2 linked regions of the Ovis aries genome follow. The protein of the gene in region 1 purifies or fractionates together with the protein of each later gene. This does not show direct contact. Links are inferred from orthologs where the notes say so. Each region holds a gene or a part of one and is shown in the gene's direction. Other genes may lie near its edges. The genes, in order: CABIN1 and UBN1.

Region 1 (3,803 bases):
TTTTCCTTTGTATTCCGCATGGGTTTTTCTTTCACATTCCCCTCTCGCCCTCCAGGCCCCTGCCTCCCCCCCCCCCCCCCCCCCCGCCTGCACCCCGGTCTTATCGCAGGCCTTCCTTCTTCACCTTCCCCATCTGGGCGGCTGACCTGGTCTCTACCTGCTGCCTGTGTTTCCATTTTATTCACCTTTTGAAGAAATAACTGTTTGTCAGTCTACTACTGTGCTGAGCAGTGAGCCCCGGGGTTGTGTCAGGCTCTCTCCGCCGTGTCCCCAATTGTCTGGCCAGGGCGGGCGCTCTGTCCCTAGGCCAGGGGCTCCCCAGGTGGCAGACTGCTGAGCCGTCTGAGGCACGCTCGCCTGTGTGCCCGGGTCCCCGGGCCCGGCTCTTCCTGGCCCCCCTCAGCCTGTCCTGCTCCCTCCCCCAGGAGCCGAGCGGGCTGGCCCTGCCCACCGCCACTGCCTGTGCCAGAGGCTCCAACCATGGTATGTGCTGGTGCCTCCCTCCGGGGGGAGGCGGGTTCTTGGGGGCCCTGAAGGCTGTCCGAGTAGGGCTGTGGGCACCTTCGAGGGTGTGGGTGTCCGCCCTCCTGTGGGTGGTCGGCAGGACCGCATCTCTGTGGCAGAGAGACACAGCCCGTGTCATTGGAGGCTGTTTTTCTGGTGCCTGGGTCTTCTGCTGCGTCAGGCCTTTCTTGGGTGTCCCCAGCCTGGCCCTTCTGTAGTGGACACATTCCCTAAGCAGGTTGGCGTGGTCCCTGCAGAATGCTCCAGGTCCCCTTTTCCCTGAGTGGCCACCTGCCATTCAGCCCCACATCTGGGGAGGCCTAGCTGTTTGAGGCCGAGTGTGCTACAGAGAGCTGTGCGCCTTGTAGGTTATTGATGAGATGAGCCATGTTTTATCTAAAAGCAGCTCTTCTCCTCCCTCACACCTCTGCCTCTAGATTCGAATCGCAGCCTTGAATGCCAGCTCCACAGTCGAAGATGATCATGAAGGAAGCTTTAAAAGTCACAAGACCCAGACAAAGGAGGCACAGGTGTGTGGTCACGGGCTCCTCTGCAGCTGGCCCTGGAGTCTCCTTTCCCTCCTGGGCTCTGGGCTGTTCTGGCTGACGCGGCCACCCCCCAGAAGGTGTCAGCGGGGCTCCTGGAACCTCGGCCTTGCTCAGGCCGAGCCCTCGGCTTGCTGCCTGCTGGTGCCCGGACTCAGCTGAGCCCACCTTGCTTGTGTCCACCTGGGGGGCCGCTGAGCAGTGAGCCCCTGGGAGGGTGGGGCCTCAGGACCGTCTCCACCGCAGCGAGACCGGCTCACACGGTCTGGAGTGCAGCCCCCACACGCACGGTCGGCTTGAAGAGACACACCTCTGTGCTCTCGGAAAACGCTTCCCGTCTTGGCTTTTCAGGAAGCAGAGGCTTTTGCCTTGTACCACAAGGCCCTGGACCTGCAGAAGCACGACCGATTTGAGGAGTCCGCCAAGGCCTACCACGAGCTGCTGGAGGCGCGCCTGCTGCGGGAGGTGAGTGCGCCGGGCTTTCCCACGTGCGGAACGCCCTCCTTGCTGCGGTGCTCCAAGGTTGGGCGAGTCCAGAGACGCGCGCGTCACAGTCTGCCAGCTGCTGCGCTCTGTCCGCTCTCAGCTCTCAGCGTGGAGGCGGCCGTGTGGATGGCTCAGGGCCTCCTGTTTTGGGAAGCGGCAGAGCACACGTAATGTGAGCAGCGGTCTGGCCTTTCTCGTCTGTGTGCTCAGAGCTGGGGTGGGGGTGGGGCTGTCCTTGAAAGACCCCCAGGGCCACACTGTTCTCCAGTGGAGGGTGGTTCCGGACTGGCCCCAGGCCTGCATAGAGGCCGGGGCCCTGCTGATGGCCTGCGGAGGCTTAAGGCCTGGCTCTCACTTTGTGCCTCTCTGCCGCGTTCCCAGGCAGTTCCGTCTGGCGATGAGAAGGAGGGGCTGAAGCACCCTGGGCTGATGCTGAAGTACTCCACGTACAAGAACCTGGCGCAGCTGGCCGCCCAGCGGGAGGACCTGGAGACGGCCATGGAGTTCTACCTGGAGGTGCTCCCCGCGGGCCTCAGGCAGCCCCTGGGGGCCGCGTGGCTCCCCAGTCATCCCTGGGCACTCTGGGCAGCGGGGATGGTGCTGTCCCCTCGGACGCCTGCTGGTGAGGGCGGGGTTCACTGAGCACGCGTCTGCGGCGCTGCTTGCAGGCAGTCATGCTGGACTCCACGGATGTCAACCTCTGGTATAAGATTGGACACGTGGCCCTGAGGCTCATCCGGGTGCCCCTGGCTCGCCACGCGTTTGAGGAAGGGCTGCGGTGCAACCCTGACCACTGGCCCTGCCTGGACAACCTCATCACTGTCCTGTACACCCTCAGCGACTACACCAGTGAGTGGGGCGCGGCTGAGTTCTCCTGCGCGCGCTGCGTCGGCATGCGGGCGGGTGGGCGGCTTGGCTGAGCTCGGGGCCTGCGCTGACGCGCAAGGGCTGTCTGCCCAGCGTTCAGGGGAAATGGAGGTGCGTTTGCTTCCCCGCTGTGCTCTGCTCGCTCTCCTCCTCAGTCGCGGTCTGCCGCTGGCGCCATGGTGGGAAGACGGGCTCCCTTCAGCCTTCCCCCCAGCGCCGCTGCTCCTGCCCCAGGCCTGCTCTGCCATTTGCTAATGGGCGGTCTGGTGGCTGCAGTCTCGCTCCCAGTGCCGGAAGCTCGCTTCCTCCTCCTCGCGGCTTATCATCCCCCCCTAGAGCAGCGTGGCTGCTGGAAACACCTGTGCCAGGTGGAGCCCCGTCTGCCTTGTGGCGGCGCCCCTCGCTGCTCTGCCTGGCCCTCTGCTCTGCAGGGCACATATGGCCCCTTGTGGGCCATCCCGAGGCAGGCACTGACGGGGTCCTGGGCCTCCTGGGCCAGCTCCTCCTGGCGGCTATGCAGGAGGGCCCTGGGCAGGACAGGGTGCAGGGTGGCTGGCCTTGGGCACAGACGCACACCAGCGCCCAGCCTGGGTGAAGGTTTCAGCCGGGAGCTCCTGGCTCTGACGGCTCTTCCCTTTCCAGGTGTGGGTGGGGCAGGACAGGGTGGCGGAGGCTGGGAGGCTGGGCCTACACCACTCCCTGGCTCCGTGTGCTCGAGCCTGGTGGCAGGGGCCAGCTGCTGCTCCCTTCCATGTGGTCACTGCCCAAGGCAACCCCAGCCTCTCTCTGGGTCCCCAGAGCCCGCTCAGCCACCCCTGCCCCTCCAGGCAGGGCCGGCATGTCTCGCGGCCCCTGCTGTGGGCCTCTGCTGTCCTCTTCTCTGCGCGGCCCGCGGCCTCCGCCTTTGGGCCTCTGCTGTCTGTCCTCTTCTCTGTGCGTCTGGCACCGCCCGCTCGCTCACGGGCTCTCCTCCGGCGCGGACCCTCGCGTCCCGTCGTCGCAGAGTGTGTGTGCGTCTGTGGCCCTCTGTGCGCTGCCCGTTTCCCCGTTTTGACTCTGGCGCTTGCATCTTCCCTGTCTCCCTGGGCTCGTCCTGGAGCTCGAGCGCCCCCTGGAGGCCTGGCCTTCAGTATCTTGCCATCTCTGCGCCCCGGCTCAGGCTCTGCACTTGGTAAACCCATCTTGAGCGGAAGACGGCCCTGGGCACTGAGTGGTGTGTGTGCCTGTGAGGGCCGATGGGCATCCCTGAGCCGAGGAGGCAGGCCTCCCTCTGCTGCAGCAGAGGGCCTCTGTCTTTCTCTCTGCACCCAGCCCTGCCCTGGGAGCTGGGCTTTCCTTCAGTGGGTGGCTGGCAAGGGGGCCCGGCTCTGTCCTCCCTCCGGCCCTCCATCCTGGCTTTCC
Region 2 (3,803 bases), on another chromosome or scaffold:
ATTTCCCTCGCAAGGGGTCCTGCAATCTTAGTAACCAACTTCTCCCTTTTACTTGCAGCTTTACAGCCCTCAATGCCAGTAAGGAGAAGAAGAAAAAGAAGTATTCTGGGGCTTTGAGTGTTAAAGAGATGCTGAAGAAATTCCAAAAGGAGAAAGAGGCTCAGAGAAAGAGGGACGAAGAACATAAGCCCATAGCAGTGTCATCAGCAGAAGCTCAGGGCTTGCGGGAATTGGAAGGCACCTCCGACCCTTTGCTCTCGCTCTTCGGCTCTGCCTCTGACAATGACTTGCTGCAGGCGGCCACCGCCATGGACTCGCTGACGGATTTGGACTTGGAGCAGCTGCTCAGTGAGTCTCCAGAAGGAAGCCCCTTCCGCGATATGGATGATGAAAGCGATTCCCTTGGGGTGGGACTGGACCAGGAATTCAGGCAGCCCTCTTCCCTTCCCGAAGGCCTGCCTGCACCCCTGGAGAAGCGCGTTAAGGAGCTGGCTCAGGTATGGTGACATGGAGTGGCTGGGCTCTCCTGGAAGCGATTGGGCGGATCGTTGCTGGTCCCGAACCATTTGCAGCTCATGGCCCAGAGCAACCCTTAGTCAGTGGGCGCTCCTAGTGTCTGCTTTTCCAGGCTTTCTTCCCACCCCAAGCAAGGGCACAGGGTCAGCTCTGCCTGTCCTTTTGTGATTCCTTCACGTCTGGAAAATTTGCTTCTGGAGAGATTTTTCTCTCCTTTGTGCCTGTCAGAGTCTCTTTCCTTTTGTGTGACATATATTCATGTTGGCAGTAGGCAGCTGGGGCAGAGATCCATCTCTTTAGTAATCTGGAGGTTTTGAACATTCATAGAAGTTTGCAGACATGTTGGGCGTGGGGCATATGCTTAGTTGCCACTGGGTTTAGTGTTAGGTAGTGATTATAGGAATCTGGAATGGTGATAAGTAAGAAGAGCTGAACCATAAGTGCTGTCCAACAGCCCCACATTAAAAGCAGTAACGGTCTTCGGAAAATAGCAGCCATTCCTCCTGTTTTCCCCCTGGGGATGGGGAGTTGAGCTAGTACTAGAGCACTAAAGGCTGTAAACTCCACGGTCCGTGAATACCCATGCTAAGCCAAGCACGGGTCATTAGTTACAGTGTATTTCAGTTAAAATACCATTTCACCTTGGACATCCTGACTGTGACAGCCCTGGGGGCACTTATACTCCATAGCTTAGGTTTCAAACCAGTGACTCTCAGTGTTTCAGAATCTCTGTTGTGTATACTAGTCCTCATATACACTAGGACCAGGGCAGGATAAAACGTTAACCACTTCTGCAAATGATTTTCTCACTTGCAAAAAATACTTGATCAAGGCATGTGAAATAATTCAGACGTCTTATTCAGAGCTCTGTTCATCCTTGTGGAATGAACACAGTGTTGTTTGAATGTACCCATTTAAATGAATTATGCCCTGTCAGGATTCAGGGTCTGTCTTAACAGGATATTAAGGTAGAAGTAGTTAAATCTGAACTTCGTGTGTATGAGCTTATTGTCCTGTGCTTGCTCTCAGAATATATGTTAAAAAAAAAATATTACCCCTTTTCAGTCTTGTGGTATGTAATCAGATTATCCTGTAGCTCCTGAAAGCCTTGAGTCAGGTCAGACGTGTGTGGCAGAGGCCAGTCATTCCTTAGAGGAAAGTTAAAGTGGCTCTGGGTGCGTCCCTGCTGCCAGTGCGGGGGTGTCCCAGTCTGATAACTGAGACTCAGTATTACATTTTCTTGGGAAGGATGGACAAGTCTGGTGGAAACAAAGCGGCTCCATGTGGAACAGCATTGGGTCATGATTTGAGAAAACCTTACTCTGTGGAGCCCATCAGGTGGATGCCGAGCAGGCTCTCCTTCCTCGGGAATTGCCGAGTCTCGGTCGTCTTTCAGGCGTGATGCAGGCAAGTCAGGAGCCCGTAGGTAAGGTAGGCTCAGGTCCTGGTGAGGAGGTGGTGACTGTACGTCACTGTACTGGCTTGAACATATATTCACGTGTGAAACTGTTACTTCAGCCAATCACCTGGCCCTTCAATGGCAGCATTAGGAAACTTGGGAAATTGGGAAAATCCTGCCGCTCTGAAAACTATTTTCAACTCACTTTCTTTTCTAGCCTCTGTGTATATGTTTTTATGCAGTTGTAATTATAGTCGTGAATAATTGTTTTCTGCTCTTTTCACTTAATAAATATCATTACAAAGCCCTCATTATTTTTAATGATTGCATGAACAAGAAGGCTTATTTTAGAAAGTGACTTAATGCCACTGTGAAGGCTCCTGGTGCTGGGGGCACTTGGCGCCGCCTGCACGTGTGCACAGGCGCTCTATCCCCAGGCCCTGCTGTGAGAGTCTGCTGGCAGAGGTTCCTCCCAGGGAAAGACGCCTGTGTACACAGAAATGACACATGATTTTCAAAAGTCACACGGGGATCTTTGGATCATTAATAAGAAGCCTCGTCCTAGATCTTGAACTGGACATTATTTTCCTATTTAAATTAAGCTTGATGCATCTAACTAACGTTGGCAGTGTTTATGTTTCTCACTTTATTTCTCACTCCCTTCTTTTTCTTTTTTTTCTCGTCGCTTTGTTTTTGTGGTGCTTTGTTGAGATTTTAAATCTTGGCCCTAGGGGGTACATGTATCAGTTGCTACTGTGTCTAAACCCACCCTACCCCACCCCACACATGTGGTGGCTCTCGGGGCTGCCTTCAGCTGGTGAGATAGCTGGGCCTTGGGATAGCTAGGACCATAGGGCCTCTCCCGTCTCATTCTGGGCAGGACAGTCTCGGGGTAGTATCTCAAGAGGGTGAAGGTGGAAGCCAGAAGACCCTCATGCTCTAGCCTTTGAGGTGGTGTGCACCTCTGCTACACTGTGTTGGGAAAGCAAGTTACCAGCTAGCGGCCCCCTCCCATGGGGATGCCCCGTCCCGGGACGGGAAGAGTCCGTGGTCCTGTTTGCAGTCCCCCATGGTACTGAAGCAGATTCTAACGTGATGTGCATCAGTCTCCCAGGGAAAAATGTTTTGCAGTTGGAAGCGAAAATAAGATTTGTCTTCTAACTAGGTGTTATTCTTAAAACTTCGAAAAATATATTTGAAAGTGTCCATGTGTGAAGGAGAGATTCTGAGAGGGAGCGCTCCAGCGCTGTGAGCCCACTTTCCGCTTTCTGCTCCCCTCTGCTGTGCCTGTTCACGGGCCCCAGGGAGCCCATGGTTTGACCTGAAGGCCTTGCCCCTGTCTGTCTTCTCCTAATATGTGTTGGTTGTGTCTTTTGTCTTGCTGGTTGGAAAGCTCAGGTAACGTTGCCCCTTGATATGTAACTGTCTTGATAGAGTTTGGCAGGTACTCACCCTGCTCCGTGCAGATGACCCGTGTCTGTTTTCTCTTCATTCAAGCATAAAATGGAAAGGATAGTGATACTAAAAATAGAAAAGAAATGGAGACACATGTTGCCCACCCTTCTACCTGCTCAGTGCTTACTCTTCTGTACAGTTAGAACCCTTGCATTGCAAAACTAGAGAGACACCGATTCACAGAAAATAAGATAGGAAAAAACAACTTTGAGACCTCCCTCGTGGTCCTGTGGTTAAGACTCTGTACTTGCAGTGCAGGGGGCACAGGTTTGACCCCTGGTCGGGGAGCTAAAATCCTGCACGCCTTGCGGTGCACCCTAAGAACAAACGAACTGCTTTGGTCTTTGTCAAGAAAATCATACCAGATTTCACTCTATTCGGCAAAAGCAGGTACAGTATATAAAGTTGTGATCTAGGTGCTGAAAGGCTAGAA

Evidence for each region.
Region 2: the proteins of CABIN1 (region 1) and UBN1 purify together in Homo sapiens (affinity purification with western blotting; 6 studies listed by BioGRID, with this or other methods). This does not show direct contact. The link is inferred for Ovis aries from reciprocal best matches to the Homo sapiens genes CABIN1 and UBN1.

Annotation. Positions count from the first base shown.
Region 1 is NC_056070.1:71,395,010-71,398,812, forward strand, and holds part of CABIN1 (calcineurin-binding protein cabin-1), read left to right. Parts: intron 1-425; 5' UTR 426-480; coding exon 481-483; intron 484-941; coding exon 942-1,034; intron 1,035-1,400; coding exon 1,401-1,514; intron 1,515-1,916; coding exon 1,917-2,051; intron 2,052-2,203; coding exon 2,204-2,384; intron 2,385-3,803. UniProt on the Homo sapiens protein: May be required for replication-independent chromatin assembly. May serve as a negative regulator of T-cell receptor (TCR) signaling via inhibition of calcineurin. Inhibition of activated calcineurin is dependent on both PKC and calcium signals.
Region 2 is NC_056077.1:4,495,231-4,499,033, forward strand, and holds part of UBN1 (ubinuclein-1), read left to right. Parts: intron 1-58; coding exon 59-497; intron 498-3,803. UniProt on the Homo sapiens protein: Acts as a novel regulator of senescence. Involved in the formation of senescence-associated heterochromatin foci (SAHF), which represses expression of proliferation-promoting genes. Binds to proliferation-promoting genes.